7 linked regions of the Neurospora crassa OR74A genome follow. The protein of the gene in region 2 interacts with the protein of the main gene of each other region in a biochemical or structural test. Links are inferred from orthologs where the notes say so. Each region holds a gene or a part of one and is shown on either strand. Other genes may lie near its edges.

The links.
Region 1: the proteins of ubi (region 2) and NCU04370 form a complex in vitro, tested with the Saccharomyces cerevisiae proteins (4 studies listed by BioGRID, with this or other methods). The link is inferred for Neurospora crassa OR74A from reciprocal best matches to the Saccharomyces cerevisiae genes UBI4 and UBA1.
Region 3: the proteins of ubi (region 2) and NCU06105 form a complex in vitro, tested with the Saccharomyces cerevisiae proteins (2 studies listed by BioGRID). The link is inferred for Neurospora crassa OR74A from reciprocal best matches to the Saccharomyces cerevisiae genes UBI4 and GGA2.
Region 4: the proteins of ubi (region 2) and NCU05777 form a complex in vitro, tested with the Saccharomyces cerevisiae proteins (3 studies listed by BioGRID). The link is inferred for Neurospora crassa OR74A from reciprocal best matches to the Saccharomyces cerevisiae genes UBI4 and UBP14.
Region 5: the proteins of ubi (region 2) and NCU08706 form a complex in vitro, tested with the Saccharomyces cerevisiae proteins (2 studies listed by BioGRID). The link is inferred for Neurospora crassa OR74A from reciprocal best matches to the Saccharomyces cerevisiae genes UBI4 and MGS1.
Region 6: the proteins of ubi (region 2) and NCU03028 form a complex in vitro, tested with the Saccharomyces cerevisiae proteins (14 studies listed by BioGRID, with this or other methods). The link is inferred for Neurospora crassa OR74A from reciprocal best matches to the Saccharomyces cerevisiae genes UBI4 and DSK2.
Region 7: the proteins of ubi (region 2) and NCU08001 form a complex in vitro, tested with the Saccharomyces cerevisiae proteins (2 studies listed by BioGRID). The link is inferred for Neurospora crassa OR74A from reciprocal best matches to the Saccharomyces cerevisiae genes UBI4 and BRO1.

Annotation. Positions count from the first base shown.
Region 1 is NC_026504.1:3,604,379-3,608,406, forward strand, and holds the start of NCU04370 (ubiquitin-activating enzyme E1 1), read left to right. Parts: upstream 1-1,228; 5' UTR 1,229-1,598; coding exon 1,599-1,604; intron 1,605-1,713; coding exon 1,714-2,093; intron 2,094-2,158; coding exon 2,159-4,028. Other genes in the region: peptidyl-prolyl cis-trans isomerase fkr-3, read left to right, coding at 13-33, 185-226, 333-360.
Region 2 is NC_026506.1:3,143,698-3,147,843, forward strand, and holds ubi (ubiquitin), read left to right. Parts: upstream 1-1,346; 5' UTR 1,347-1,621; intron 1,622-1,689; 5' UTR 1,690-2,346; coding exon 2,347-2,368; intron 2,369-2,438; coding exon 2,439-3,334; 3' UTR 3,335-3,886; downstream 3,887-4,146. UniProt on the Saccharomyces cerevisiae protein: Ubiquitin exists either covalently attached to another protein, or free (unanchored).
Region 3 is NC_026507.1:1,783,576-1,787,522, forward strand, and holds the start of NCU06105 (ADP-ribosylation factor-binding protein GGA1), read right to left. Parts: upstream 2,801-3,947; 5' UTR 2,221-2,800; coding exon 1,675-2,220; intron 1,613-1,674; coding exon 925-1,612; intron 863-924; coding exon 360-862; intron 243-359; coding exon 36-242; 3' UTR 1-35. Other genes in the region: NCU06104 (RLI and DUF367 domain-containing protein), read left to right, coding at 3,316-3,947. UniProt on the Saccharomyces cerevisiae protein: May play a role in the regulation of membrane traffic through the trans-Golgi network.
Region 4 is NC_026507.1:3,794,955-3,799,042, forward strand, and holds the start of NCU05777 (ubiquitin carboxyl-terminal hydrolase 14), read right to left. Parts: upstream 2,801-4,088; 5' UTR 2,615-2,800; coding exon 2,587-2,614; intron 2,468-2,586; coding exon 2,400-2,467; intron 2,313-2,399; coding exon 184-2,312; intron 128-183; coding exon 1-127. Other genes in the region: NCU05778 (iron sulfur cluster assembly protein 1), read left to right, coding at 3,883-4,024. UniProt on the Saccharomyces cerevisiae protein: Required for the adaptation to the presence of glucose in the growth medium; mediates the degradation of enzymes involved in gluconeogenesis when cells are shifted to glucose-containing medium.
Region 5 is NC_026502.1:3,748,261-3,752,294, forward strand, and holds NCU08706 (AAA family ATPase), read right to left. Parts: upstream 2,587-4,034; 5' UTR 2,414-2,586; coding exon 545-2,413; 3' UTR 501-544; downstream 1-500. Other genes in the region: NCU08707 (iron sulfur assembly protein), read right to left, coding at 3,343-3,380, 3,466-4,034. UniProt on the Saccharomyces cerevisiae protein: Involved in the maintenance of proper DNA topology and chromosome integrity via annealing of single-stranded DNA breaks. Modulates DNA polymerase delta during replication or replication-associated repair.
Region 6 is NC_026501.1:8,392,116-8,396,209, forward strand, and holds NCU03028 (deubiquitination-protection protein dph1), read right to left. Parts: upstream 2,651-4,094; 5' UTR 2,382-2,650; coding exon 1,947-2,381; intron 1,882-1,946; coding exon 1,021-1,881; 3' UTR 568-1,020; downstream 1-567. Other genes in the region: NCU03029 (hypothetical protein), read left to right, coding at 1-567. UniProt on the Saccharomyces cerevisiae protein: Involved, with RAD23 in spindle pole body duplication. Involved in the ubiquitin-proteasome proteolytic pathway.
Region 7 is NC_026504.1:3,874,816-3,879,066, reverse strand, and holds the start of NCU08001 (vacuolar protein-sorting protein bro-1), read right to left. Parts: upstream 2,801-4,251; 5' UTR 2,091-2,800; coding exon 1,813-2,090; intron 1,752-1,812; coding exon 1,322-1,751; intron 1,249-1,321; coding exon 103-1,248; intron 41-102; coding exon 1-40. UniProt on the Saccharomyces cerevisiae protein: Class E VPS protein involved in concentration and sorting of cargo proteins of the multivesicular body (MVB) for incorporation into intralumenal vesicles. Fusion between endosomes and the vacuole will then target the cargo proteins to the vacuolar lumen.

The sequences.
Region 1 (4,028 bases), on a different chromosome or scaffold from region 2:
AATATGTTTTAGTGATTACGGATACGGAGAGCGGTGAGTAACCTGCAGGCCTTTTTTTTTTCTTTCTTCTGAAAATCCAAAAAAATCAGTCTATATGGTGTAACACCACCCGCAGACACGATACTTCTGGCCGTGCTGATTTGGAGTTAATGCCCATGTGCTGACCCGACTTATTGCACACCAGGGGTTTTCACGGCCACATTCCTCCGAACGCAGATTTGATCTTGTGAGTTGTCTCCTGTATGCCACATATCTTGCTCCAGCTTGTCTCTACAGTCAAGGTAGCGGCGGGCAAGATAGCGTCAGCAAGGATACGAGCTAATATGTGATAGTGACGTATATCTCAAGGGTCTCCAGTAGCTGGGCGGTTCACTGATCTCGGGAAAAGGAGACGAGGTCCTTAGTTCAACGCCTCCAACGAGCCAAAGTAGGGACCGCTGGGCAAGAAACCACTGGAACTTGAAGTTCTTTTGGGAAGATAGATTTTATGTCGGTGATGGCGATGACGAAAACACAGATGGTTGGTGTTTACGTTGCGAGGAACCTTGATGGGTAAAGACGAGGAATTAATTGAATGACGGGAGGTTGAAGCGATACAGGGAAGGTTGAAGTACCCGCGCAGCTATGTTAATATGGAGAAGTACCTACAAGCGCCTCATTGAATGTGATTGGCTCACTACGATAAGAGAGCACAAGTTGCCTGCCGGATGGGCTGAGTGGCTGGTCCTTGCTTACTGTACCAAGTACGTTTTACCGCCATCGGTACATCGGGCAAGTACCTCTAGTGCATGACCGCCTCGTACCGTCTACTGCCAGGGGTGTTAGTAATGATTCGATCCTTCTATTGCTGTCCTCACGGTTCCTTCCAGGTTCATGCGCGCGTGAACCACAATACATATTGGCTTCCCTTCAGCATCAATGAGACTCTGAGTCAAGGTTTATCCGATCAGATAGGAGACAGGGCACAGCCAGTGTGAAACGAGGTTGGGTCGAGGTAGAGGTACCTAGAGGTACATAGCTAGCATAGCCACTTCCAGACGTACAACCTAGTAATAGGTGCGAGGCCGCATACGGTGAAGGCTACAGCACACTGCACTAACAGCAGTACAGCGACCTGCACGCTGCAGCGGTAGGTGCTTGGCCAACGACGGACAGTGCATCACATCACCATTCCCCGCAGTTCTCCTTGATGCTTGACAGCTGGTGGCGGGGCTGACCGAACCTCCCTCGACATCCCCGCCGCCCGACCTTCCAGATTACAGACAGCTTCCACTTCCACTTGCACTTGCACTTGCACTTGCACCTTGACATAGTACGACATAGTAGCACTTGCGCTTGATCCGTCGTCTGTTTTCCCGAGTCATTCAACTACAACATCGGCGTTTTCTTTGGACCAACATCGCCAACTTGAAGTATCACAATACCCGACCACTGCGAATCAACAACTTTAGGTTCAGTTCTCGTTCTTGTTTTTGCTCTGTTTGCGTCACGAACTTTCCACCATCTATAATCTACCGGCCCGCCCGTAATCAACAGTCGCCAAGCTGGGGAAGCGCAAAGTATCCGAAGGGGACCTACCCATCTCTCTAAAGAGAACCATGACAGTGAGTTGAAACCCCGTTTGTCTACATGAATCCTACTTGGGATGGCAGATGCTTGTTCCTGGTAGCTAGCGCCAGTCAGTCTGACACTTTCGTGATGCCCATCTCCCAGGACACTCAGAAAAACGAGGTCGACCTTGTCACCAGGATGCAAGTCGACGAATCAGTAGCCGGCACCACGGCCGAGATTGATGAGTCCCTCTACAGTCGCCAGCTCTATGTCTTGGGCCACGAGGCCATGAAGCGCATGAGCGCTTCCAACGTCCTCATCGTCGGCCTCAAGGGCCTCGGCGTCGAGATCGCCAAGAACGTGGCCCTTGCTGGCGTCAAGAGCCTCACCCTCCACGACCCCGAGCCCGCCGCCTGGGCCGACCTCTCCGCCCAGTTCTTCCTCCGCCCTGAGGATGTCGGCAAGCCTCGCGACCAGGTCACCGCTCCCCGCGTTGCTGAGCTCAATGCTTATACCCCCGTTCACATCCACCAGTCGCCAAGGTAGGTTATGAACCGGACGGGAGTGAGCTTGACAGGTTCGGTAGCTAACCGTGGCCTCTGTACAGTCTCGCCGATAACCTGTCGCAGTTTGACAAGTACCAAGTCGTCGTCCTTACGAACCAGCACACCGATCTCCAGACTATTGTCGGCGAATACTGCCACTCCAAGGGCATCTACTTTATTGCTGTCAACACACACGGTCTCTTTGGCGGCATCTTCTGTGATTTCGGCGATAACTTTACTGTCATGGACACGAACGGCGAAAACCCCGTTAACGGTATCGTGGCTGGCATCGACGAGGAGGGTCTCGTTTCTGCGCTTGACGAGACCAGGCATGGACTTGAGGATGGCGACTATGTGACCTTCTCGGAGGTTGAGGGTATGGAGGGACTCAACGGCTGCGAGCCCCGCAAGGTCACCGTCAAGGGCCCCTACACCTTCTCTATCGGCGACGTGTCGGGGCTTGGCCAGTACAAGAAGGGCGGTCTCTACCAGCAGGTCAAAATGCCCAAGACCATCGAGTTCAAGAGCATTACCAACGCGCTCAAGGATCCCGAGTTTGTCATCTCCGACTTCGCCAAGTTCGATCGCCCTCAGCAGCTTCATATTGGATTCCAGGCTCTCCACGCTTTCGCCAAGTCTCAGGGACGTCTACCAAGGCCGATGAACGACGAGGATGCGCTTGTGGTTATCGCCTCGGCTAAGGAGTTTGCCAAGCAGCAGGGTGTTGACGTCGAGTTCGACGACAAGCTTCTCAAGGAGCTCAGCTACCAGGCTACTGGTGACCTTAACCCCATGGCCGCTTTCTTCGGTGGCCTTACTGCCCAGGAAGTCCTCAAGGCTGTTTCGGGCAAGTTCCACCCCATTAAGCAGTTCATGTACTTCGATGCGCTCGAGGCTCTTCCCACCAACTCCAAGCGCACCGAGGAACTCTGTGCGCCCACTGGTAGCAGGTATGACGGCCAGATTGCGGTCTTTGGTAAGGAGTTTCAGGAGAAGATCTCGAACGTCAAGCAGTTCCTTGTTGGCGCTGGCGCCATTGGCTGTGAGATGCTCAAGAACTGGGCCATGATTGGTCTCGGAACAGGCCCTGAGGGTAAGATTACCGTTACCGATATGGACTCGATCGAGAAGTCCAACTTGAACAGACAGTTCTTGTTCCGTCCCAAGGACGTTGGTCAGATGAAGAGTGACTGCGCGGCCAAGGCCGCGCAAGCTATGAACCCTGACCTCGAAGGCCACATTGTTTCTCTCAAGGATCGCGTTAGTCCCGAGACCGAGGAGATCTTCAATGAGGAGTTCTGGCAGGGTTTGGATGGCGTCACTAACGCGCTGGACAACGTTGAGGCGAGAACGTATGTCGACAGACGGTGCGTTTTCTTCCACAAGCCTCTCCTTGAGAGTGGTACCCTCGGCACCAAGGGCAACACGCAAGTGGTGCTTCCTAGGCTCACTGAGTCCTACTCTTCCTCCCAGGATCCTCCTGAGCAGTCGTTCCCCATGTGCACTCTCAGGAGTTTCCCCAACAAGATCGAGCACACCATTGCTTGGGCTCGTGAGCTGTTCGAGAGCTCATTTGTCAAGCCTGCGGAGACCGTCAACCTCTACTTGACCCAGCCAAACTATCTCGACACTACCCTGAAGCAGAGTGGCAACGAGAAGGCGACGCTGGAGATGTTGGCGGACTTCCTAAAGCACGAGCGCCCGCTCACCTTTGAGGATTGTGTCCAATGGGCTCGCATGCTCTTCGAGAAGCAGTACAACAACGCTATTCAGCAGCTCCTTTACAACTTCCCCAAGGATTCCGTGTCCTCGACCGGTACCCCCTTCTGGTCCGGACCCAAGCGCGCCCCTGACCCGCTCAAGTTCGACCCTGAAAACCCCACCCACTTTAGCTTCCTCGAGGCTGCTACCAACCTCCATGCCTTCAACTAT
Region 2 (4,146 bases):
CTGGTTCTTCACAGGTTGTCATGGAACCGACTATGGGAAGGGCCACAGAGCAAACGAGTTCTCGAGTCTTGTAGAGTTGCCTTGGGTTGTGTGTACTTGTTTCATTTCAAAGACGCAAGTCATTACCACGCAAAGAAAGCCGTTGGCTCGTTGGTTCTGGATGAGTGGAAAAATGCATTCCAACTCTTACGATAGAGCCTAGGCCAGACGAGTACATAAGTACTCAAGATCAATGAGTGAGAAGGATTGCGAACGGCAACCAGGCACCTGCATTGAACTTGGTTCACTACACGCATTGACAATAAAAAGTATCATGTACACCAATCTGATGACGTTCAGGGTTGTCATTTGATCATGGGATGTCACAACCCGAGCCGAATGGGTGTATTGAACGGACCGTAAGGACGATTCCCGCATTTGCGAAGACGGGAGTTGTAGGCGTGACTGCGCGGGAGTCCCCGGGATCCCGTGCAGGAGGTGATGCCGGCCCCGGTCTCACCCGAGGTGGTTGGCAGGCCTAGTAGCGGGCAGGGCGGAACTCGTCACTTGGCTCCAGGAGTTTGTGATGTTGTGCTGCACAGCTTACCTCCCTCTACTGTACATATTACACTCGTGCGTAAAGGACCCAGCATTCTGATCGATGATGGTAACTCGCGATACTATGGATCATGCGTGAACGGAGGCTAGAGACCGTCAATAGCGGAGCGACCCTCCTAAAGTGCGGGGCGGTGGAGCCAAGAAAGAGGCCACGATAATGCTGGGCGATAACGGGAGGAACGGAGTCACGACATCATCGGTCGGGGGCTGGTGGGAACCCTTATGGCCAGGCACTGCAGTCAGGAGGTCTCCCATCTGTCACCGGTCTTGAATCCTTACCGGCGTCAACAGCCACGGTCGGTCGGAAAGCCGATAGAAAAGCGAAAGAGAATACCTGGTAATAGCTCCCCGTTCCCGTCCGGTTCAGTTGTCGGTGTCCCGCCATGAACACGGAGAACTAACGAAGCTCATCGTCGCACCAGACGGAGCGCTTACCTCAGCAGCCTTTGCAAAGGTCGGTGGAAGAACCAACCGTGAGTCCGTGACACCAGCTGAGCATTCTGTGGTTTACAGTGCCAGCTGACTCGCCCCTTTACTGTCTGGAGCTGAAACGATGCCTGGCCGGGATGCACCTCCCGTCCGGTTGTTCTTTCGTTCGACGACCAACACCTCGACCCCTTTGGTGACACTCTTTGTGGTGTTGGTTAAAGACAAAGTCACAGGTCTCTTTGATTTTATATACTCATCTTCATGTCTTCTGGTCATTTCCTCCATTGCTGGAAAATTGCGATCCAACCGTTCACTCTTCCCTGTTTGCCTCTCGGTGCCCTCGATCGGACCACGTCATTGACCGCTCACTTCGTTGGGGGGTTCGCTTATCAAATGCGGGGAACCAGCAAGGTGCACGTCGGTATTCCATGATGCCAGCTGGACTGCTGCTGTGTGAAGCATCGAGCAAGAGGCCATCAACAACCTGATAGAGGGAACAATTATAATAACATGGAGAGAAGCTTGTCAAGATGCTGGCAAAGTAACGAGAAGTCGAGATGGCACTCTCGGATTTGTAAACAACTGAAACTCGAAGGTCCGTCGTCCAGCCACATGCAGATCATTCTTTGGCTTATTCATCCAGAGAGAACCTAACTGAAGCAGGGCAAACAGCCCGGCTGAGGTGACTGACGCATTGACGGGCAAACGGCTGGGTGAGTGCCCGCCACTGCAGAAGGCGTTGACAGTGCGATCAATCAGCCGCGGTCACTGTTGGGGGGGATGTCCAACCACTCCTGCCAACGGGCAACAGCCAACAGTCAAGGGGGAAACTGTCGTCTGACTGGCTTCTTCTCGCGCCTTCCCTCCACTTCTCTGTCACTCCCAACCGCCAAGTGGCTTGTGCGTGGCCTGTCAGTGAAGGTGAGTGACACACCACTCACACCGTGGCAGGCGTTGCAAACGGACCAGTGACGATCGACTTGGGACCTGGCACCTTTCCGCTTCCACTCCAGTCCCGTCACCTCTTCCCCTTCACTCAGCCCCCCCGCTTCGCTTCCCTTTCCAGGCAGTGGAAGCCTGGCCCCTCCAAGTTCGCCATCCTGATTCCTGCCACTTCCGCCGCAGCCAGCACCTGAACCTACTTATTTAATCCTCCCCGCCCATCTGCATCCCCGATTCCATTTCTTCCGCTTTCACCATCTCTCTCCATCGCCATCATCGCAGGAGTGTTCATCCACGCACATATCATTCCCGCCACTCGATTCTAGTCATTTCGCTTCATCCATCAACAGTCCATTCGTCCACTGCACAACCCCCATCATGCAGATTTTCGTCAAGACTTGTAAGTTATCGCACGCTCACCGCATCATCACTTTACCATCGATCGACCGATGCTAACTATCTCTTCGCAGTGACCGGCAAGACCATCACCCTCGAGGTCGAGTCGTCGGATACCATTGACAATGTCAAGCAAAAGATTCAGGACAAGGAGGGCATTCCCCCCGACCAGCAGCGCTTGATTTTTGCCGGCAAGCAGTTGGAGGATGGCCGCACCCTTTCCGACTACAACATCCAGAAGGAGTCTACCCTCCACCTTGTCCTCCGCCTGCGCGGTGGTATGCAAATCTTCGTCAAGACTCTTACCGGCAAGACCATCACCCTTGAGGTGGAATCGTCCGACACTATCGACAACGTCAAGCAAAAGATCCAAGACAAGGAGGGCATTCCTCCCGATCAGCAGCGTCTCATTTTCGCCGGCAAGCAGCTTGAAGACGGCCGCACTTTGAGCGACTACAACATTCAGAAGGAGTCTACCCTTCATCTCGTTCTTCGTCTACGCGGTGGTATGCAGATTTTCGTTAAGACGCTTACCGGCAAGACGATTACTCTCGAGGTTGAGTCTTCCGACACCATCGACAACGTAAAGCAAAAGATCCAGGACAAGGAGGGTATCCCACCTGATCAGCAGCGTCTCATTTTCGCTGGAAAGCAGCTCGAGGATGGTCGCACCCTCTCCGACTACAACATTCAGAAGGAGAGCACCCTGCACTTGGTGCTCCGTCTTCGTGGTGGTATGCAGATTTTCGTCAAGACCTTGACGGGCAAGACGATTACGCTGGAAGTCGAGTCTTCGGATACGATTGATAACGTGAAGCAAAAGATCCAGGACAAGGAGGGTATCCCGCCTGACCAGCAGCGTCTGATCTTTGCTGGTAAGCAGTTGGAGGATGGCCGGACCCTCTCTGATTACAACATTCAGAAGGAGAGCACTCTTCACTTGGTGCTGCGCCTCCGTGGCGGCCAGTAAGCGGATTGTCGTCTTTGTTTCTGATTCTTGATGACGAGCAAGGGTTCATTTGGGCGTTCAGCGTTTATTGGGTTACTTATTGCATCCATGGGTTGGGAAATGATGACAACCATGAAACAGGGCATATCTAGCCGAATCTAATGGCACACGCTTCATACATACAGCGATGCCATAATAAAGACTATATTTACGGTCTCAAACATGATGTCTCTTGGTGATTTGCTTGTGTCTCAATTCGTGAGCTTTTGTTATTCCCGTCAACCTGTCATCTGGTCAATTGGGGATGGAGTCGGACGTGTAAGTCAAGATGGTGGTGCAGTGGGTTGGTACACACCGTGCGAGGTGACCGTTGCGTGGCCGAAAGTGGCGCCCTTTTTTGGTGGACAAGATGCATCATACGTGAAAGATACGTACCGACCGCCGAGTTCAGTTCGCGCTAGTCCGGCCGTGGAGCCCTCCCTCCCCCCCTGTGAAGGACGATCCAACGTCCAACGTCCAACGTCAAGTTCGTAGTTGTGGAAGGTTGAATGTGAAGAGGACATCCGGAAGGACCTCTCATCCTCTCTAATCACCAGGGCAAGAACCATCACTGCATGGAGTTTGGGCACACATGAACCTGCAGAGATAGGCATCGGCGACTTGATTGACGTAAGGCCCGCGTCCAAGGTGTCTTAATCGACTCTTCATCTTCTTGATCCTTCTCTGTCCTTCTCTTGCTCTTCCACTCTTACAGTCAACGCAATACTCTCAATATTACACTTTCATCAGATTTTTCATCAAAGCATTGTTGTTTCTCGACCATCACAACAAGG
Region 3 (3,947 bases), on a different chromosome or scaffold from region 2:
ATTCTTGTGGCCCTCGTTCTTACCAAAGTTCCTGCTTATGCCACACTGAACTCGGGAATCTCACCCATCTCGGCCTTTGCTTCCGCTCCAACCTTGTATGATACCCTCCACCTGAGTTTCACGCTCTCTACCTTCCTGGTCTTGTCCGCCGTATACCATACGTTGACTGACTGGGTAATGCCCCGGCTCTGCTTGGGGGTAAGAGTCCGTCCTGTTTGAGGCTGAAGTTGCAATTCGTATCCCTGTTCAAGCATCACAATTAGCATCTCGCTTGAGGGCTTTCTACAACTGACGAAGGCACATAACGTAGCCCAAAACATTTTTGGTCAAAGTGCCAAGGGTCAGATTAGTGAGCTTACCTTGGTGACAGCCAACTGGAAATGCACCTCGGTGATGGGTTGCGCTGTGTTGTTGCTAAAAGCAAATTGCATAGAAATGGCTGGAGATGGGCCATTGGACAGAGATCTGACAGCCACCATGTCGACCTTGAGCGCAGTGTTAGAAACAACGGCTCTGTGCTCCTTAGGCTGGGCGGGTGTCGCCTCAGGAGGCAGTGCCGAGGAGAAAGACCACTCGTCATCGTCATTACCGGTAGCAGCTGGTGCTGGCGCTGGCGCCGGGGTAGATGAAGAGGAGAGAGAGGCTAGAGCAGCAAATGGGTCGTTGGACGCTGTTGACGACGCAGCTGGCGCGGAAAAAGCGGATGCTGTATACGCGGGAGGCTTGGGGGTGCTTGATTGAGAAGCAACTGGTGATGCGAATGAGTTGAAATTGTTGAAAGAGGATGGGCCAGGTTGAGGGGAGGGGCCCCGTGCGGTGCTGTTCTGCGTGGTGGATGAGAGCAGTGCCGGTCCAGGAATGTCTGTGGTGATCTGTTAGCAACATTCTCTTTGACTCTTGCACGGAAAGCAGCGAGTGACATACTCGTATTGGCACCGAACCCGAGGGCAATGCCACCTCCTTGACCATAAGAGCTGGTTTCACCCAGCGACAGGCCAAGCAAGTCGTTGTCGAGGCTGTTTCCTCCCTGGGGTGCGGACTGGCTGGTCGAGTCCCCCCCGCTTGGCTCAGCATCAAAATCAATGAGCGACAGCTCTTGCGCCGCACTCTTGCCAGCACCACTTCCACTGCCGTTGCTTGTGCTTGCAACTGGCGCGCCACTTGCCAATGCCTTGGCACCCTCTATATCGCCCTTCTTCAGCAACCTATATCTCTCCACAGTTCGGTGTATGCTGTCGTTGATTTCGAGAAGTTTTGCGACTGCTTCATGGTCGTCTGATTCTTCCTCGCACATCTTCTGGATCTTTGGTTGGGCGCTAGACAGGGCGGCTGCGAGCTCGGAAAACACATCGCCATCCACGATCTTGTCGCCGGGTTGAAAGGCTTCTAACCGCTCCTCGAGAAGTCTCGCTTTTTGTTGGATTTTGCCCACGTCCTCGGCCGCCTTGGCGCGGTAATCCACCTTGGATCTCGTGTCATAGCCAGCCATGACCTTCATGAGTCGATTAGCCTCCTGGAGGTCCTCGGGAGTACCTCGACGGATAAGCTCCTGCAGCTTGGCGGACTGCGCCTCGCGTTCCTCCTCTTCCATTTCCTCGACAGATTTTAGGTTCTGTGACAGATAGGTTAGACACGCTTCAACAATGACCCATGGAATCGGGACGGAACACTTACATCACTCGGGTTAAGCACAGCAGCATCCTCCCTTCTGACTTCCGGGAAGGTGTACCCCTTGTAGCTCAGCAAGCGGTGCATGTCCCTGATGAAGCCCAAGTCCTCTTTATATCTGCTCGTTTCGCAAATCGTACAGCGCCACTCCTCAATGGCTTCGAGGATCTTGAGCTGGACACGGGTGGGGCGAATCGGGGGCCGCTCGGGAAAGCGGCGTACCAGCTCATTGAGAAACTCCTTTGTGCTGATCTGGAGGTGGAAGGGGTAGCCGCAGTTCTTGACGCAGATGTCGAGCAGGTTGAGGGCCAGCAGCGAAACGTTGGGGTTGCGGTTGTTTATGTAGTTGACGATGGCCACGGCGGCCTCTCGAGGGGCGGAACCCTTCTTGGAGTTGATCAAGTCGGCGATCTCGAGGTTCAGGGCCAAGTTGGGTTCGTAGTTGTCGGGACTGCAGGCGGCCGTGATGAAGCGCTGAAGCTGGGACGGGGCCGGGCGGCCCATCTCGGCCCACCGGTCGCGCGTGGCATAGCGGGCAGACGCCGCCTCCATGTTGCCGGCGTTCTCGGGGAGTCGGGACGTGTTGAGTGGTGGATGAGGAGACTGACGAGACTGAAGAGACCGAGGAGGTATTGGGGCCAGATTGCGCAGCTTGGCGGGAGTCGCCTGGATAGGTAGGTAATGGATGGCGGCAACCAGGACCCAACCAAGCCTTTGGTCGGTCAAGCTCTAGTGTAGTCTAGAGGAGTTGTGTGCTAGAGGTAAGGTAGGTACCTAGTGAAGCTCCCCCTCTTCCCGGTAAGCCGTTGGGATTATTACCAAGTATGGTGAGTAGAGGTATGGTATGGTACTACTACAGTTTGATACTTCGTTATACACCCAGAGACTGGACTATGATTCGATCCGAACTTCTGTACCTAGAGGTAACGGGAATGTGTCCACCTGGATCGCTGGCTGATGGAAGGAGGAGAGGCCTACTGCTGCTAGGGGACGGGAGCTTACACGGCTAGGTCAGGTCGTGGACCCCTCTCAGTGCTCTGGACGGACGGGTTGGGCTTGGGCCTGCGCTGTTGCCTGCCGTTGAGGTTGTTGGGGCGCAAGGAAAAATGGAGCCGCACATCGGTACGTTGCGAGACTGCGTTACAAGAATACTATCTTTGTGGATGAATAATACACTGCAATTTCAATCCACAGCACCTCGACAAGCGCCTCCAGCATGGTGTAAGCGCGGCAGACGCTTGCGAATCGAGCATCTTCCGCAGCAACAATCGGTGAGTTGCATGAATCCGGGGAAGACGTCAATCATGGACATCCTCAGCGGACCCACCTGTCCACCCCACCTGCACCAACTGAACCCCAAATGCGATGTCGTCAAGGTCTTCAAATCGCATCCATAACTTTTTTCGCCATCTGCCACTTCAACCTTGTAGCGCAAGCAGCTCGCATTGTGGTCCAAGACGGCACGCATATTTCCATCCAAGTTCTGCCCTGGTAAAGCAAGGCAGTGCTAGGTCGTGCCAAAATCATCCATCCATTGCGACATAAAAAAAAGTCCGTCAATTACAAGCTTCAACCCCAGAGCCAAAACCATCGGCACTCCATCTCGACAACATCCATCCTCCCGACGAAATTCAAACCATCACCACTATGGTCCGCCACAAAAAGGACGGCTTCTCCTCGCGCGGCGGCAAAGGCGGCCATGGTCGGAACGCGCCCCGCAACAACCCCCGCAGCAGCAAAGGCCCCCGAGACAATGCCGGCAGCGGCGGCGAAGACACCACAGCCAACCCTCACGACCCGTCCACGTCCTCACGCCCCTACCGCCCTCCCTTCAAGGCCGCCTGCTGGGACCTAGGCCACTGCGACCCGAAGCGGTGCTCAGGCAAGAAGCTGATGAAACTCGGTCTCATGCGCGAGCTGCACCTGGGCCAGCGACACTCGGGCGTCATCATCACGCCCAACGGCAAGCGGGTCGTGTCGCCCGCCGACAAGGAGCTGATGGAGCAGTATGGCGCGGCGGTGGTGGAGTGCTCGTGGGCCCGCACCAAGGAGGTGGAGTGGAAAAAGGTGGGCGGCAAGTGCGAGCGCTTGTTGCCGTACCTCGTGGCGGCCAACACGGTCAACTATGGTAAGCCGTTTCGGCTGAACTGCGTGGAGGCGCTGGCGGCGGCCTTTGCCATCTGTGGTCATTTGGAGTGGGCGGAAGAGATTTTGGCTCCGTTTTCTTACGGCAGGGCATTCCTGGATATCAACTCGAAGCTGTTCAAGATCTACTCGGC
Region 4 (4,088 bases), on a different chromosome or scaffold from region 2:
GAAGTAGACATAAGCAGTCTTCTTCATCTCCTCAACATCCACCACCTTGACCACCTTCTCATCGTTGAAAAGGACCCAGGAGGTCTCGTCCTCGCTAAGCTTCTTACGAATGAAAGCAACATAGTGTCTGGTTGTCATGGTCAGCGTGTGATTCGGTGACTGAATACGTGGATGGAAACTTACCCAGCGTGAATACTCGTTCCCTTGTGGCACACAATCGACTGCAACTGGAACTTGGCTGGCAACTCACTACTGCCCGCCTCCTTCTTTGGCCCCTCATTGCCAGCCGGTGCCTCCTCTTCAACAGCGTCCGCACCATCATCATCAGGATGGCTGAATAGCCACTCGATGGCTCTTTCCACATCACCACCGGTCTCATTCAGTGCTTTTACAGCCCTCGGTCCAGACAATCCCATCGACTCAAGCATGGCCAACTTCTCCGGGTCAGCCGCGCCAGCGCCTCCTGAAGCCGCACCACCGCTGCTGGCACTGAGGTCCAAAGGCACATCAATATCGGGGTCATCCATGTGAGCAAACAGCCACTCCATGGCAGCGTTGGCATCCGAGTTGCCTGTGGCATGCAGCGCCTTCTCACCACGGACTCGTGGAAATCCCATGGCCTCGAGCATGGCAAGCGCCTCCGCGTTAGGCACAAATGCAGGAGCGCTGCTCTTGGCCGACTCATCCTCGGGCAGGGCTTCTTCGTCAGGCTGCTGACCCTTGGAAAGGTATTCGTCAAGGTTCAAGGGCTCGTCATCAACAATGACGGGAACATCAATCTTGACGGGGACCCAGTTGACAACAGCCATCTTTCGGGCATTGACAACGAGGACATCGGGGAAGGTCTTGAAGGCTTGACGCTTGGTAAACCCATCCTTGCTTCCGCAGCCCGCACAGGTCAGCTCAACGACCTCGGAGGCAGTCAGGCTGTCAAGACACTGCTTGAGCGTGACAGGCTTGTACTTCGGTTCTTGACCCTCCTCCTCGGGTGGAAGCTTCTCCATGGGCACGTCAATGAAGACGCTGTCCTGCTCATTGCTACTGTAGCGGACCTTCTTGCAGTTGAGGCATTGCAGACGCTGCTCCATGACGAAGCGCATGGGCTGGGTGGGATCACCAAGCTCTACTGGATGCTTGGATCGAGTGATGAGCTTGATCAGATGCTGCAAGAGCTCAAAGGCGTCTTGCTGCCGCATGGTCGAGAACTCCTCGTGGCCACGACCCATGAGGTGCTTGAACATGGAAGGCTGGAGACCCTTCTGGTAAGGGACGTTGGGAGTGTGCTCAGAAGCAAAGACATCGGCGTCTGACTTGGAGTACCGGCCGGAAAGAAGACCATCACCAAGCTTGCGAAGCTGTGTTTCGAGGTCCTCGGCAGGATCTGATACGCTGGGGAGAGGACCAAGCTTGTCGCTATAGTACCGTTGTTGGAAAGAGGGCAAGTCGTAGAGACACTGTAGGATACTGGCAAGGTAGCAGCTGTTTCCGAGGTTCTTGAGGCCAGTCAGGCCAGGGCCAAAAACGGGTGTCAACTCTTTGCCGTCCTCAGTGGTCATGGAAAACTCCCATTTCAGGTTCTGCTCGATCTGCATTTCCGTCAAGCTCTTTTCCGTCTTTTCGCGCTCGGCAAGGATAATGCCCCAGTTGGCCAGGTGGGCGCCCAGGTTGTCATCGATGCGCTCTTCGTCGCAGTTGTAGCAGTATACGTCGGCCGTTCCCTCGGGGGTGATGGAACCAAGCTTGACAGCGACGCCGTGTTTGGTCTCGGTCGCGTGAGCCAAACCGTGAGAGTTTCCGCTGACACCACCGAATTGGGCGCGGCCACAACCAAGGTTTCCGCATTCCAAACACAGCCAAAGGTTTTCGTTCAAGTCGCACTTGGAGCAATGGCCCAGATCCTGAGACTCAATCTTGCGAGGCTCTCCTTGCTGCATTGTCAAGATGTGCTCACAGGTAGTGAGCTCTTGTTCCCAGGCCTTGACCTCCTCCTTGCGTGAGAACGTGTTGGCCTTCATGACGGCCTCGATGACGGGGGCGATGGTGGCATCTTCCTTGTTCAAGTTGTCGATTCCGCAGTCCAAGCACTTGACTGTAAGTGTTGTATCGTAGCGATCGCTTTCGGTCTCGGCCGCGATGGCGAGCTTGGACATCTTGAGAGGCGGCTCATTGCGCTCGATGATCTTGCGGGTTCGGCGAATGTTGAGGACGAGCGGGTGGTTTCGCGAGGTGGCATGGAGCTTTGCGTGATTCCGGTCGCCAGCGCAGCCTCCGTTAAAGCACTTTAAGCAGACATCCAGACCAGCTGGGTCGTCCTATTTACAGCGAGGCGGTTAGTTGCTAGGCTGGACATGGTAGATGGGGCTAGAAGAAGAGAGGAAAGGCCAGGATAGAGTACGGACAATGGAATCGAAGCATTGGGTACAATCCTCGCGGTAGACATTGTCGGTAGGCGACGGCTTCGCGAGGTCTGTTAGAATCGGTGTGTCAGAAATACGTTGTCCAGTCCTGAGTTAGAGGCGCACCACACATGATGGAAGCTGAGCTGAGCTCCAAAGAGCATGCAAACATGGAATAAGCAAGACTTACTTGCGGACCCGATGTGGGGGCACGACATGTTGGGCGGATTCGCGATGATGTATGAATGAAATCAACCAAGCTATGTTGTCTGTATTCTTGGTGTGTAGTTGTGTACAACTAGAAAGTCATCGAATTGTTGGATGAAGTCTACCGCCAAGTGAAGTTGTATTGCAGAGGAAGAGAAGATGGAAGAAGCGTGAAGGAAAATGGAAGCTTGCCGTAGCTGCAGGCAGTGAGCTGAGCTGAGGTATGATGTTGTGGGGTAACTTTAGCTGACGCGGCAGGCACTGGACAGCAACCACTCCCCAATCCCCATGTTCCAGGCAACCGCGCTTCATGGCATTCGCCCTGCCGCCTTCCATTTGTTCGAACCCCGCTGCCGTTTCATGGATTGTGACAGCGGACAGGGATGATGTGCTGCAGTCTGGGGACAATGGAGCAGGGATTGGCGCTTGCTTAGGTATCGGTGGTGGACGATCTGTTATGCATTTCTTAACATTGTGGCACGTTACACAGTGACAATGCAGATACGGTTTGTTAAGAAAGTGTCATTTTCCAGTTTGCAATCAAGAGGCAGAGTTTTGGACGGGAGGTACGTTTGACGGCGACAGAAATGCCCATTCGACGAGGTAAGAAAAGAGAACAAGGACCTGACTAAGTACCATTATAGTGTAGAAGCCCGTGCTTAGCATTTTCATCTGTCGTCGGCTGGAAAAAAAAAGTCCAAGGGAAGCGAGTGATCGTCCAGAATTCCAAGTCAACGACGACCGAATCGCGAGACGTAGGTACATTCGGTGTTCCGTAATCTGATCATCTTATCTCCGCGGCAAGTGGAGCTCAGAACTGTCTTGGCTCTCTTTTGTCCAACCGACCAAGCCGACGTCGGGGATGACGCCCCCCATGTCCGTAGCAGCGCGTCTTGTCACTGGCCTAACAGAAGCCTGGCTGTTTTGGTTGGTGATTGTGCTCCGCTTTTGTTAGGAGAGCTCTGACCAACCCCTCTTTTTCGTATCCCAGTCCCGAGTGCAGCAAGTCGCCCCCTTGGGTCATCATCGACTTTTTGGCGACCAAGTGCCGCAAGCCCGCAAATCCGCAGCCAAATCCGCAAATTCCAGCAACTTTTAATCCCCAAGTCCCGTCCGCCGCCAACCTCTTTATCTCGGCCTCTTTGACTTTTCGCCATCCACTCATCACCAGAACTCGTCTCTTGCATCACCGATACCTATCCTACAGAAACAACAAAACAACCCAAGACAAAACGAAACGAAACAAAACAAAAACATCACAATCAACACATCCGCAACCATGTTTTCCAGATCCGTTCGCGCTGTTTCCGGCCGCGTTCTCGCCAACGCCGTCCGCCCTACCGTCATGCCGGCTGCGCGCCAGATTGCGCCCGCCGTTGCCGTCGTCGCCAAGAGGTCCTACCACGAGAAGGTCCTTGACCGTGAGTATTCCCATCGCGGCCACGCATTCGCGCCCTATTCCACCTTGGATATGGCATATCGGCA
Region 5 (4,034 bases), on a different chromosome or scaffold from region 2:
TAAAGAGCATTTAAACATCCAGAGTTCTCATTCGCTTACTCAGAAAACCCTTCGCTTGAAGGGACGGCTAGTGAGGGCTTAACGGTCACGACAGCCTCTATTTTTTATGCCTCTCTGTCCGCCTGCTTCATGATGCTCAAAACTGAAAAATACGAAAAGAGAGTATCCCCACGGCATTCATCCGCTAGACTCAAAGCCCGAATGCTTTTTTGCATCTTCATTGAGAAGAGGCGTCTTTCGTTGTACCAACCTATCAAACAACACAAAACAACCAAACCAGGGCTGAATTGTGTCTTAAGTGGAAGACGTCAAATCCGGCACTATCAACACACAATCGCTTGTTCAACCAAGTTCGGCTAGTTCTGGAGTATCTAGTCATCAACTCCATATCTTTCTAACGTCCAACAATGAATGCTATACCAACATGTACATTTAACACCAAAACGCCAGCCTATCCATAACCTTTTTTTGGACGCTTCAAATGCACATTATTCATGCACTACAAGCCAAACCAGACATCGTACTATTCCAACAAAACCACACCCTACGTCGTCGTCCCATTCACCCCTCCCTCCCCATTTCCATTAACCTCCCCATCATCCTCCCCCTCCCCCATTTCCACATCCGGATCCACCTCGGTCCCCAAATCCCTCTCCTCCAAAAACTTTCTCCCCACCAACTCCCCCGGCAAATAACTCTGCTTCACCCTCCCATTCCGATAATTGGGCGGGTACTTATACTCGGCTCCATATCCCATCTCCTTCATCAACCTCGTCGGCGCATTCCGTAAATGCAGCGGGACAGGCAACGCCGCCACGCCCGGTTCCCTAAGGGCCGAAAACGCATTATTCAGTCCTCTGTATGCCCTCGTCGATTTGGGCGCCAAACAGAGCGCTACGGTGCAATGCGCTAAAGGGATACGCGCTTCAGGCATGCCGATTTGTTGGGTGGCGGTGTAGGTGGCGGTTGCTAAGGGCAAGAGGGAGTTGTCGGCGAGACCGACGTCTTCGGAGGCGATGACGACGAGGCGACGAGCGATGAAGAGGGGGTCTTCGCCTGATTGGAGCATGCGCGCTAGGTAGTACAGACTGGCGTCGGGGTCGGAGCCGCGGATGGATTTGTGGAAGGCGGAGATGGTGTCGTAGTGTTGGTCGGAGGCGCGGTCGTAGACGAGGGTTTTGGTTAGGGAGGCTTTGATGGATTCTTTGGTGAGGGGTTCGTCGGGGGAGGAAGTGGTGGTGGTGGTGGTGGTAGTAAGGGATAAAGCGAGTTCGAGGAGGTTGAGGGCCGTGCGAGCGTCGCCGTCGGCAAAGGCGCAGAGGTAGGAAAGTAGTTCGTCGTCTATTAGTGGGCTGAGGGGCAGGTGTTGGTCGGTTATTTCCTGTTTGAGGGCTCGTAGCAGGATGCGCTGGAGGTCGTCGCGAGATAGAGGTTGGAGAGTAAAAGTGCGGCATCGAGAGAGCAAGGCGGGTACGACTTTGAAGGAGGGGTTTTCCGTGGTGGCGCCGATGAGCGTGATGGTGCCTGCTTCGACGGGTTTGAGGAATATGTCTTGTTGCGCCTTGGTGAAGCGGTGGATCTCGTCGCAGAAGATGATGGTGCGGCGACCTGTGAGGTGCAGCTCGTTGGCCGCTTCCCCGAAATACTTTTTGCACTCGGCCACGCCTGAGCTGGTCGCGTTTAGCTCGATGAAGCGGCTACCTGTTCGTTGGGCGATGCAGCGCGCTATCGTCGTCTTTCCGGTTCCCGAACCGCCCCAGAGAATCATGGACGGGACTCGATCGGTTTCGATCAGCGCGCGCAAGACGCCGTTGGGCCCGACTAGATCCTGGCCGAAGACGTCGTCGAGAGAGCCGGGGCGCATGCGCTCGGCTAAGGGAGCGGATCTGTTGTTCGGTTTTGTGCGCTTTACTAGCGGTTGAATCGGTGGGCTGGGTTGTGCTTCTCCTCCTCCTGTTCCTACTCCCCCTTCTCCAGTATTCACGTTTTGTTGTGGTGTCTCTGCGCTCCCATCTCCTCCATTCCTATTCCTCGCCGCGTCTATCGAAGGCGAATCCAACCCCGGTCCCTCATCAAACCTCCTCTTGGTCCCCGTCCTCGGTGTTTGCGCAGCAGTCGAAGCAGCAGCACTTCCATGGACTGGTAGGGGTGTCGAAGCAATGGGTATCTTTGACACGGCCAGTCGTTTGGCAGGAGTCTGGAAGAAGTCGGCGGCACTTCGTTTCTTTTGGGTTGAACTTGGTGGTAGGTTTCCGTTCTGGGTACTCTGTTGTCCACTACTTTGTGGTTCAGCTTGGGCGGTGGCGCTGTCGGCGGCTGTCTCGAGGAATGACTGGCAGCCGGAATCAATGTGGCTGTTGATTTTGTCGAGGCCCTTGACGGCCTGGTTACATATCGGACAAGTGACCGCCATGGCGTCGCATGTGTCAGTGGGTAGGATGAAAGCAAGACTGAAGCAAAATCTGGTCTTCTCAATGTGTCTGAACGGTGGAATTTCAAAAGATGACCCGAGGAATAGCAAAAATGGGTTGTCGAATGGCGAAATTGGGGGTGACGGGAGACGCGTTTGGAGGGCGTAAATTGATTTTCGAACGCGTTAACAGCTGTTGTCCCCCTGCCGCTGCAGTGTTGGTGGGTGGGGAACTGTGTTGCGGCGGGGATACATAAAGCATGTGGGGTAGCTCCCGCTGGACCGTTGGCAAATTGACAGGTGCCCGCATTTGAGCCGCACGAACAGAAGTCAGAAGTCATGATTAATCAGCCATCAAAAACCACAGCATGCGTCATTAGAGGGCATCGCAGGAAAAGGTACACAGTAGAATGCATGTAATCATGACAGCCAAAATATGGGATGAACCATTTATGCGTGCCAGATATCAAGTATGATGATAAGCCTCTCCATTGCTCTCCCTTGTATAAATGGTGGTGCAACAGGGAAAAGAGAGAAAAATTATACAGCAACACTACCGATAAGTAAAGAGGCCCTTGATAGAGCCGTCCATATCTGAGTTTACCAGAATGGAAAAAAAATAAGTAACAAGAACAATAAAGGGAATAATGCTCTCTACCCAAACGCCAGTACCCATGCTTTCGCCGAAAGAAAACCCCCCCAAGCGCGCGAGCGCTAACAAATGACGCAAAAAGACTCTGAAAGCTCCATACATAACTCTTCGGTCCTTCGTTCTCGATGCGCCAAGGGAGCCACTGAAGTGAAGACCGTCCCGTAGCTCTCTCTAAAGTCGTGTCGTGTCACGCATGACTGTCCGGCTGAAAGGCGCTTCGGCTTCCACGCCCGGCCCACCCCTAGCTTAACCGAGATTTAATATCATTCATGTCCTTTATTCATACCATGAATGACTCTCCACAACCGCATTGCTCCTCTGTTTTCCCTTTCATTAGCCACCATCCCATCCCAATTCCTTTCCGCAGCATCGAGGGAGAAAAGAGGGGGGGGTAAAAACTCACTAATATTAGGATTCCTGAAAACAAACCGCTGACTCAACTTATCCTCCACCCAGTCCATTTCACTGCCAATGATGCTGAAGAGCGCCTTGCTGTCAATCAAGACCTTGACGCCGTCTTGCTCCACCGTCTCGTCAAATGCCCCGGCCTTGTCCACGTACTCCAGGTGGTACGCCAGCCCGCTGCACCCCCGGTTGCGCACGCCGACTTTGATCAGCTTCGGCTCCGGCTGGTCCAGCATGGCGCGCAGGTGCTCGACAGCCGCGGACGTGAGGTTGATGGCGGCCTTGCGAGGGGCGCGCAGGCGGGAGGCGCGGGGGGCGGGCTTGGAGGGCGTTGGTTGCGTGGGGGCGGAGGAGGCTTGTGCTGCGGCGGCGGCGGCCTTGGATTGTTCTTGCTTGGGAGCAACGGGGGTGGGCTGAGAGGGGCTTGATGATGTAGATGGTGACGTTTGCGCAAAGTTGTTTAGTTGTTGCTGCTGCTGCTGCTGCTGCTTCGGTGGCGACGCAATCTTGTGAGGTCTTGTCTCGTGTACGCGCGGCATGGGCGGCTGGACGGGGAAAGCCATGGAG
Region 6 (4,094 bases), on a different chromosome or scaffold from region 2:
ATATCCAACTACATGCTAATCCGCCTAATGACTACCTTCTGCGTCGGCAAAACCGTGGCCGAATGGCTCAAGGGCCATATGGATTCCGGCTTCGACGTCCTACGGTACGTGGACGTTCGCCGCTTAGTTCAATTTGGCGTCATCAAGGGGTGTTTGTACAGGGTGCACAAGTATGTTATCTCGAAACAGTATCTGGCTGCGCTAGCTACGGGGTTGGCTAGACCTGTTTCGCCATCCGACACCGGAACTGGCACAGGCAAAGGGAAAAGTGGGAGGGGGTATGGCGAAGGGGAAATGGGGAGGGAACATAAAGTGGCGGTGCCGGGCGGACATTATGATACCTATCGTGAACCCGGGAGTCATGGGGGTCCGGGGGGGAAGGGGTCGAACAGCAAGAAGATGGCGATGATGATGAAGGCTAGTGGGGATCCGTTGCAAAAGTATATGGATGGACGACATTGTTTTGATCAGATCATGACGGAGAGGAACATGACGGACGCGGAGATTATGGATAAATTGAGGAACTTTCCGGTGCCGGCTGGGGATTTGACGGTGCTTTATCGGTAGAGGGAATGATAGCATGCAAATAAGAGTTGATTAGTGGTGTTGATAGTTAGCCCGGCTACTGTATGCGAACTCGTCTTCTTAGAGGACAAAAGAACCTTGTTGATTCAAGCAAGAGGAGACATGTTTGATAAAGATCGCTAAACTGTAAACATGTAAACCTCCTTACGTGAGGACACCCGCTGAAGGGGTGTTGTTTTGAGCATCGTCTCTGTGCTGGACTGTCTATCGTCCTCCTGAGCAACCATTATCGCTAGATATTTGATTAAAATATATCTAGCACGGCCCAACAATGACCTCGCCAGGAGATAACACTGCACTCCCTGGACATCCTTCAATCCACTATCCCCTCGACATTCTGTCGTTCATTGTGAATACCGCCGTATCCTTGAGGAACAGCAGATAACTGTCAATCTCCGGTCCACATCTCTGCACCGTCTAGTAAAGAAATTTAAGTTAAGAACCGCCCAGAAGATGTTCGATAGCACCCTGTACGCTACCACCGCTGCGGCGTAGTGCAGCAACGTTCCGATCAAAATCGAAGAAACCCATATCGTTGAGTTGACGCAGCTGCTCAGCATACCTCTCCTCTGGCGGCCTGTTGTCGGGAGGAGCAACGGGATTTCCGCCAAAACCACCCAAACCACCGCCACCAAATGCCTGCATCATCTGCTGCAAGGCCTCAGGCGAGATAGGGGGCAAACCAAAAGGGTTCGCGGCACCAGCCTGACCAGGCTGACCAGCACCTCCAAGCGCTCCGAACAAAGATGCCAACGGATCTGCTTGCTGCCCAGACCCCGAAGTGGCGCCAGTAGCCGGAGCAGATGCGGCATCCCCGCTCCTGGCACTCTCGGTCGAAGCTCCGGTAGACGCAGGCGAAGACCCCGCGGGGTTTCCAAAGAGCGCGGCAAAGGGATTACCTGCTGGGGGAGCGCCCGCCGGAGGAACACCAAATGGAAGAAACATGGCGAACGGGTTCTGCGCATCGGCATTGGCGTTGTTATTACCGGCACCGGTCGTCGCGTTCGGAGTGTTGTCCGTTACCCCGGGCGCTGGAAAGGCGTTGGCGCCTCCGCCCATCATCCTACGCATGCGTGCCGCCATGCGAAGTGCCTCCGGGTTCGTCATCATGTTGCGCATCATCGGAGAGTTGAGAAGCTCGCGAGCGCGATCAGCGGGCATGTTGGCCAACATCGGGTTGGAGGCAATCATCTGGTCGATGACGGCGGGGTTGTTGAACGCCTCGGCCATGACCTGGGCCATCGCTGGGTTCGAGAGCATGTTCGCGATTTCATCCTCGCTAGGAGGCGCGCCCATCTATAAAACATCATTAGTAAACAGCTATGTTAAGGGTCCAGGGGGCCGAGAAAGGGGTGGCGTACTCCTCCGTCCGGCCCAAACAGGTCTCGGCTTGGTAGCGGCACCTGACCGGCAAAGCGAGCGCCTGTGAGGCCAGCTAAAAGGTTATTCGAGGGAGTGCCGGCAGCCATGTTCTGAGGTATCGCGGGCTGAGCGGGTGTCGAGGTTGAGCCACTGCTGGCTGTCGCGGCGCTGGCTGGACGCTTAACCATGTGCACTGTGTTCATGTGCTTGATCTTGTAGAAACTAAGAACTTCATCGTCCTTCATGACCTTTCCGGAGTAGATGAGGCGTTGCTGCTCCGGCGAGATGTTCTCGTATTCCTCCCCCGCTAACAGGGTCTTGAGCTGAAGGACGGTCGCAGACTCGGCAATGGTGACTGTGTGGTTCTTGTCGCCTGAGCATTTTACTTTGAAGGTAATCTGGCCATCGCCGCCAGTATTTGAAGCCTCAGCCATGATTTCTATCGCTTTACGATTCGGCAATGAAACGGTTAATGGCGGTCGTGGATGATGACGTTGGTCTCAGGGGAGCTCCGATCGCCCCACGTTCGAGTTCAGCACTTTGTGATGGGATTATGTGAAAGCCTGCTGCAAAGTCGTTCGTATGGAATTACGATAGCTTCGTGTGCTGGTGAAAGTTGAGGAATGGTGATGCTACGGAAAAGGGTTGTGTTGGGAACCAAAGTAATTGAGTTGTTGTAATGTTGGAAGGTCACAGGCGGAGGCCGATAAGCGCTGCCGCCAACAGTGGCAGGTGGGTGGCATGGCATTAAGAGCCCCTCCACGGCAGGCAGCAGACCCCACTACAAGCCGTCATTAAGGTATACTAGGTAGTGTAGTGTTCACCGAGGTTCTTGCCTTTTTAGGCTTCACTTCTGTCGTTGAACACGACTCCATCCCTAACCCTACCTACCAAGTGCATGTTACAGTACCTTAGTACCCTACTTCAGCTTTCCCACAGGGCCTCGACGTAACGAACGCCGGTCACTAGGCGTATACATAGGTATACATACTACATGGAATCGATGGATGATACGAACGGTGCCTGATTGCAACTTCTGCGTGCCATATAGATGGTGAGCCACTATCTTGTCACCTACTAGTTCCAGTCAGCTGCGACACCTTGATAGTACTCTCCTGCTCTCACACCCATCCGCTTCTTTGAGGTTCTATCGGGCTCTCGGCATCCACATGACCTGACACCTGACCGGTTCCCCCCATCTTATCAGCTTGTCCAGTAGCTTTTGTTATCGCATGTGTGTGATGACAGGGTACTGTCGATTAGCTGCTGCTTCGAACCAAATCCATGTACCTTCTAAACTAATGGACGAGGGCGAATCGTCTCACTCTTTCCCTTGACAAACCTAAACCTCTTCCCTTCTCTGGTTTTGAACAAACTTTCTTCAGATGGCAGACACTTCATCGCTTCTGCCTACACTTTTATTCTGGTGGATGAAAGAAACTCAACGCATCAAACCTCCTACTTTGATGCGCAATCAGCATTCTTGAAGGTTCAGTGACCCTCAGCCGATAGCCGGTTTGGCGAGAATAATCTTTCGTTGATGTCTTCCGTCAAACCTGCACAACAAAATCGTATTCGCAAACTACTCACGTTTTCGGTTGATCAGTAGCGTTTGTTGTTATGGCGGCATTATATGGGCCGTCGCGTCAACCTCAGCGAACTAGGAGGTAGAACATATGGACTATACCAGACAGGTATGTACAGCTCAGAGTGCATGGTCCGTGGACCATGCCAGGATACTCCAGGTAAGTGTATCAAGGATATCGAGCATCTGCTCCTTCACCGCCTTGGTGTAGCCTTGGTGTACATCAAGACACATCTCTAACCGCACTTTAGAGCATACCGCCTAGGCAGTTCTTCTTGCTGCGGGCCAAGCAAGGATACGACGTGCTTAAGCGACCATTGTCTTCCACAAACCTTTGAGATCATGGAACTATTACACTATGATAGGCTGTCCGTCAATGCGAGATGTCGACGCACTAGCAGCGAGTGCCCTCACGTTGATGAGGATTCTTCTTCGTTCGTCCGTCTGAAGTGGAGTTGGCGTGGGCAAGGGCATGGACTGAGGAGGAGATCAGCGCTTTCCCAAGAGATGGCCCGTCAAGGTAGAGCTGCTACGCGTGCGACGCCGGTCATGTGGGTTGTTG
Region 7 (4,251 bases), on a different chromosome or scaffold from region 2:
TGTTGAGAATAAGAATTTGGGAGATATCATCACTGTGCGCCTGTTGTTTTGTCAGCTCTTGATGAACCACACTCGACTCTTCATCGTGAGTGATCAACATACCTTTTGCTTCAGATCCTGTAGTACCTGCAGACGCTCCTTCTTCACCAAGCTGAGCTTCTTCAGAATATCTTCCACCTTTTGGATCTGCTCAACCACACTCGGGCCACCATCATCAAAATCGGCCTCCAAAAGATTAGGCTCCACGGTGGCGGGGCTATTCGGGTTTGACTTTCGCGACTTCCTGACTGCTCTCTGGAACAACTCATCGATCTCTCCATGCTGCGCGGCCTGGCGCATCTCATCCAACTCAGTTTCGTTGGCTCTAAGCTTTGTCGCGAGCTGCCCATCACTCTTCGCTGCCACTTCCAAGGCCTCCCTATACCTCCTAATGTCCGTTCTGAGCGTAGTGGTCAACCGCGAACTCGGCTGCTGAGTCCATTCCGCATCGTACTTGGAACGCATCTTCTCACACACGCTTTCCTCCATATCCAACTGCCTGCTACTCTTATCCAGTATTGTTGAAATGGCCTGCTTTTCGGTATGAAGATATTCGAAAATCCTATGAGGGCTTTCGTGATCCGCGACATCCACACACCATGTCCTAAAGTCTTCGTCAGGAAGGATATCCTGATCGAACCCTCCCTTCAAAACCTGAAGAGCGCCCGGAAGCCTGAGATAGTCCAGGCTAGCCGCCATCTCGCTGTTTGCGGTTTCTACTCTTTCCGTCTCAGCTCTCACCAGCTTGGCCTTCTCTTCATCGTACAAGCTAGCCGATTCGGTGACCGCGAGAGGCACAATTTTCGCGAATAGGTCGGGGCCGGTGATCCGTTGAATATCCTGGCCGGCATATAGTTCGCTAACGGGTATCGGTTTCGCAGCCGGCAGCTTGGGGACTGGTGCAACGCTGGCCTCAGCAGGTACGGGTTGATGGTAGATCATATCATTTTCCTTGTTGAGTTCCTCCAACTTTTCCTTGACAGTTGCGAGGTGTCTTTTGGTCGCATCTGCCAGGATGTGGCCACAGTCCGAAGTCAAATTCGAGTTCGGGGGCACTGAGGTGGGAAAACTGTGTGCCATCTTGTTTGCTTCTTTGGCAAGACCCTGTGCAATTTCAAGACGCGCAATGGCCACGCCATAAGAGTTTGCATCCTCATCAGCGAGGGCTTGATAGTACTGGGCGAGTGAGTTCATGAAGTTAAGCTTGATCTAATATTTTGTGTCAGTTTTGCCCCAGATTTCCCATCCTTCCTGATACGGAACCCACGCCTACACAACTTACCTGAACCACAGACAGCCAAACTTTCTCGAAAATGGCCTTGGTGACGTTTTCCTGAACGCCCTCAACAGCCTGGGCGTAGAGAGCGGCTGCTTGGCTAGACAACTTGGCGAGCAGACCATTCTTTTTTTGATCAGCAATCTGCTTCTCAAGGAAGACCTCTTGCGCCTGGGCCAACATGATGCTGATTAGCGTCTTGACCGTTTCCCTGCTCAGATCGGACGAGGGCGCGTGGAGGAAGTTCTCGTTGATGTAGGTGAACATGCCGGCCGAGGCCTGGAACGAGTGGTATGCCGTCTTGAGTCCCGCCTCCTCGGTTCGCAATTGGTGTGCCGCATGGCAGGATAGAACGGCGGAAATGTTGAAGATGATGGAGGCCTTCTCAAAAGCCAGCGAATATTGCGCTGTGGGCTTGTGAGTAAAAGCGTCGAACCTACAGAAGCAGCAGATGGTTAGCAACCGATGTGGGTCCCGAACACTGGAAGGGACAATACCATGTAAAGGAAATCTTGATGTTCTTCTCGTCCACCGGAAATCTCAAATCCAAAAGTTCGAGCTGGCCGTAGTAGCGATAGAGCAGGTCCCTTCCCGACGTGCTGTCCTTCCCGGCGCCTCGCATATCCTGGCGTAACCGGTTGAGGGTCGCACATTCTTCGGCATAGCGCTCCGGATCATCGCCGTACGTATTTCGAATGTAGTTTTTGAGGGGAGCAACCCAGTCAATCTCGCTTGTGGCCTTGAGGGGCACCGAGATCATGGGCGCCTGCACCATGTTGGGCGAGTATGGGCGGGCGGTTGGAATTCAGCGTCTCGGTTCGGTAAACGACTCGATGGAGTTCGGAATGCGGGGACAAGACAAGACGAAAGTCCCGGTTCTGGCGGCTTGTAATCCAAGTTCTTGTGGGTTTTCCGTGTTGTCTGCCGCGTGACGACTGCAGCTTTCCTAAGCCTACTTTGCCGATGGTATGTGGCAGACTGGGGAAAAGGGTGAAAGATTGGCGGTTGACGAGTTGTGAGAGGGAGGAGAGTTGCGTGTTCGTGTAAGCTTTGGGTAACAAGCCAGCTTGTGTCGTCAGAGCTCGCGTGCGGCGGAGGGGTACCTGGTACTTTGCCAACGGCGGTTGCCCTGCTGTGAACTCTGCTGTGGTGATTGAGCGTTGATGGCCGCCTGGCCGTGTTGGAGTGGACGGTAAAGTCGAGAACCACGTTGTGGACTTTTTACTTCTTTGGGGGTTGGGGAGGGGGAGATCCGGGGAACTGGTGAGGTGCAGTAGGTAGGCACAAGGCGAACTACTGGTACCTAGGTACCTTATGGTTGCTTAGGTCTCCAAATGTGGCCGGGTGGCTTGGTCACTACCTAGGTAGAGGTACCTTGGCGACGCTCGACGATTGACAAGACATAAAGCTGAGGTGATGTTGCTTGGTAATAGTATTCAAACCAATACTAGGTTGTTATTTATGGCTGGCCAACTTTTGCAAAAGTTGTCTCGGTCTCGCTCATCGTATAAGCGAAAGAGCGGCACCTCCAGGCCCCGTCATATGTTATATGTGCACCGCTTGACAGGTCATCGATAGGCGGCGGGCAGCAATGGGCGTGATGGGGCAGGCGGCAGCTACCGGGGAAGGAGCCACCCAACTACGGAGACAGTCCCGTATAGCTTCCATCATCCCCTGTCACCGGCCGGGCTCTCTCCAGCTGTGATTCAGACCTACAAGATGCCTCTGATATCGAAGATGGAGTTCAATGTGAAAGCCACTAGCACTTAGCTTGAAATCGAAGACACCCAGTGAGGTTTGCTGGACCAGAATATCCAAGCGGGAAACTAATCGAGCGAAGAAGAGGCAAACCAAGAGATGGATTCCATCCGCTCTCTCCAAGTTAGCCGCCGGCTGCAGATCGCTTCAGGCATCTTCCTCACATGTTCAGACGGGGGAAGCAGCTCCATTATAAGACCAGGAAGGTACAATAAGCTTAGCACTACCTACCTAGTCCATCTTTCCACACCTTCCCTCCATCCATATCGCCCGTCCAGATGGGCGTTGCTTCATGGCTCGATATTCAATGCCTTGCCCTGGTCCCCGTTTTCGGAAACAATCCTCCAATGATTCGGGTACCCGTACAGTCCGGGTGTGGTACAAAGCTACAAGCCGGCGGCTATGAAGGCCCAGTGCAGCGATTTGTTGGTGTGGCGCCCAACGGCTGACCCCTCTTTTCACCTCTTCATTAGACGCGCTTCTATCCGTATCTTTCATCCATTATGAAGAAAGAGGAAATACTGAGCCCAACCTGACAGAATGATGGGATGAGGAAACTGAAGAGAGGTATAAGTGATGGAATTAACCGAGCCTCGTCTCCTTTTGTGCGTGGTAATAACGCTCAAGGCAGCCGCATTCAACGGATGTGGAAACAGAGAGTGATGAAGAACAGAAGAACCCCGCTACAAAACGCGGGGGTGTTTCTCTTTTCACTATCACATCACATCTTGCAGCTGGCGATCGACAGGTTCAGGTTGCGAGAGCGGCCTTTCCCTGGATCCATACACACGGATATCTCATCTCTACTGTCAATATCACGGCTACGACATGTGCACTTTCCTCACCTTCGGAACGGCGTCTGTTCATGGGGCTCTACAATGTGCGGAAACTGAAGCCAGGTGCTCGACCCCTATATCCCCGTCAGAGGATTGTTTCACGATATGATTGGTCAACTGCCCTTTTCACATCTACCTCTCGCACTCTCGAGAAGCGCTCAATGGATGGTGCTTCCGGGGATGAGGCTGGCATGAAGCATCCCATCTACATGCCCAACTGTCAAACAGAAAATATGATTTCGAACACTGTGACCCTTTTCTGCCCCTCTTGTAACTCTCTGTTCAGCAGCGATAAAGACAAAGGTTGTTCAAACGGAACAAAACAAGGTACGTTTGGCGCAT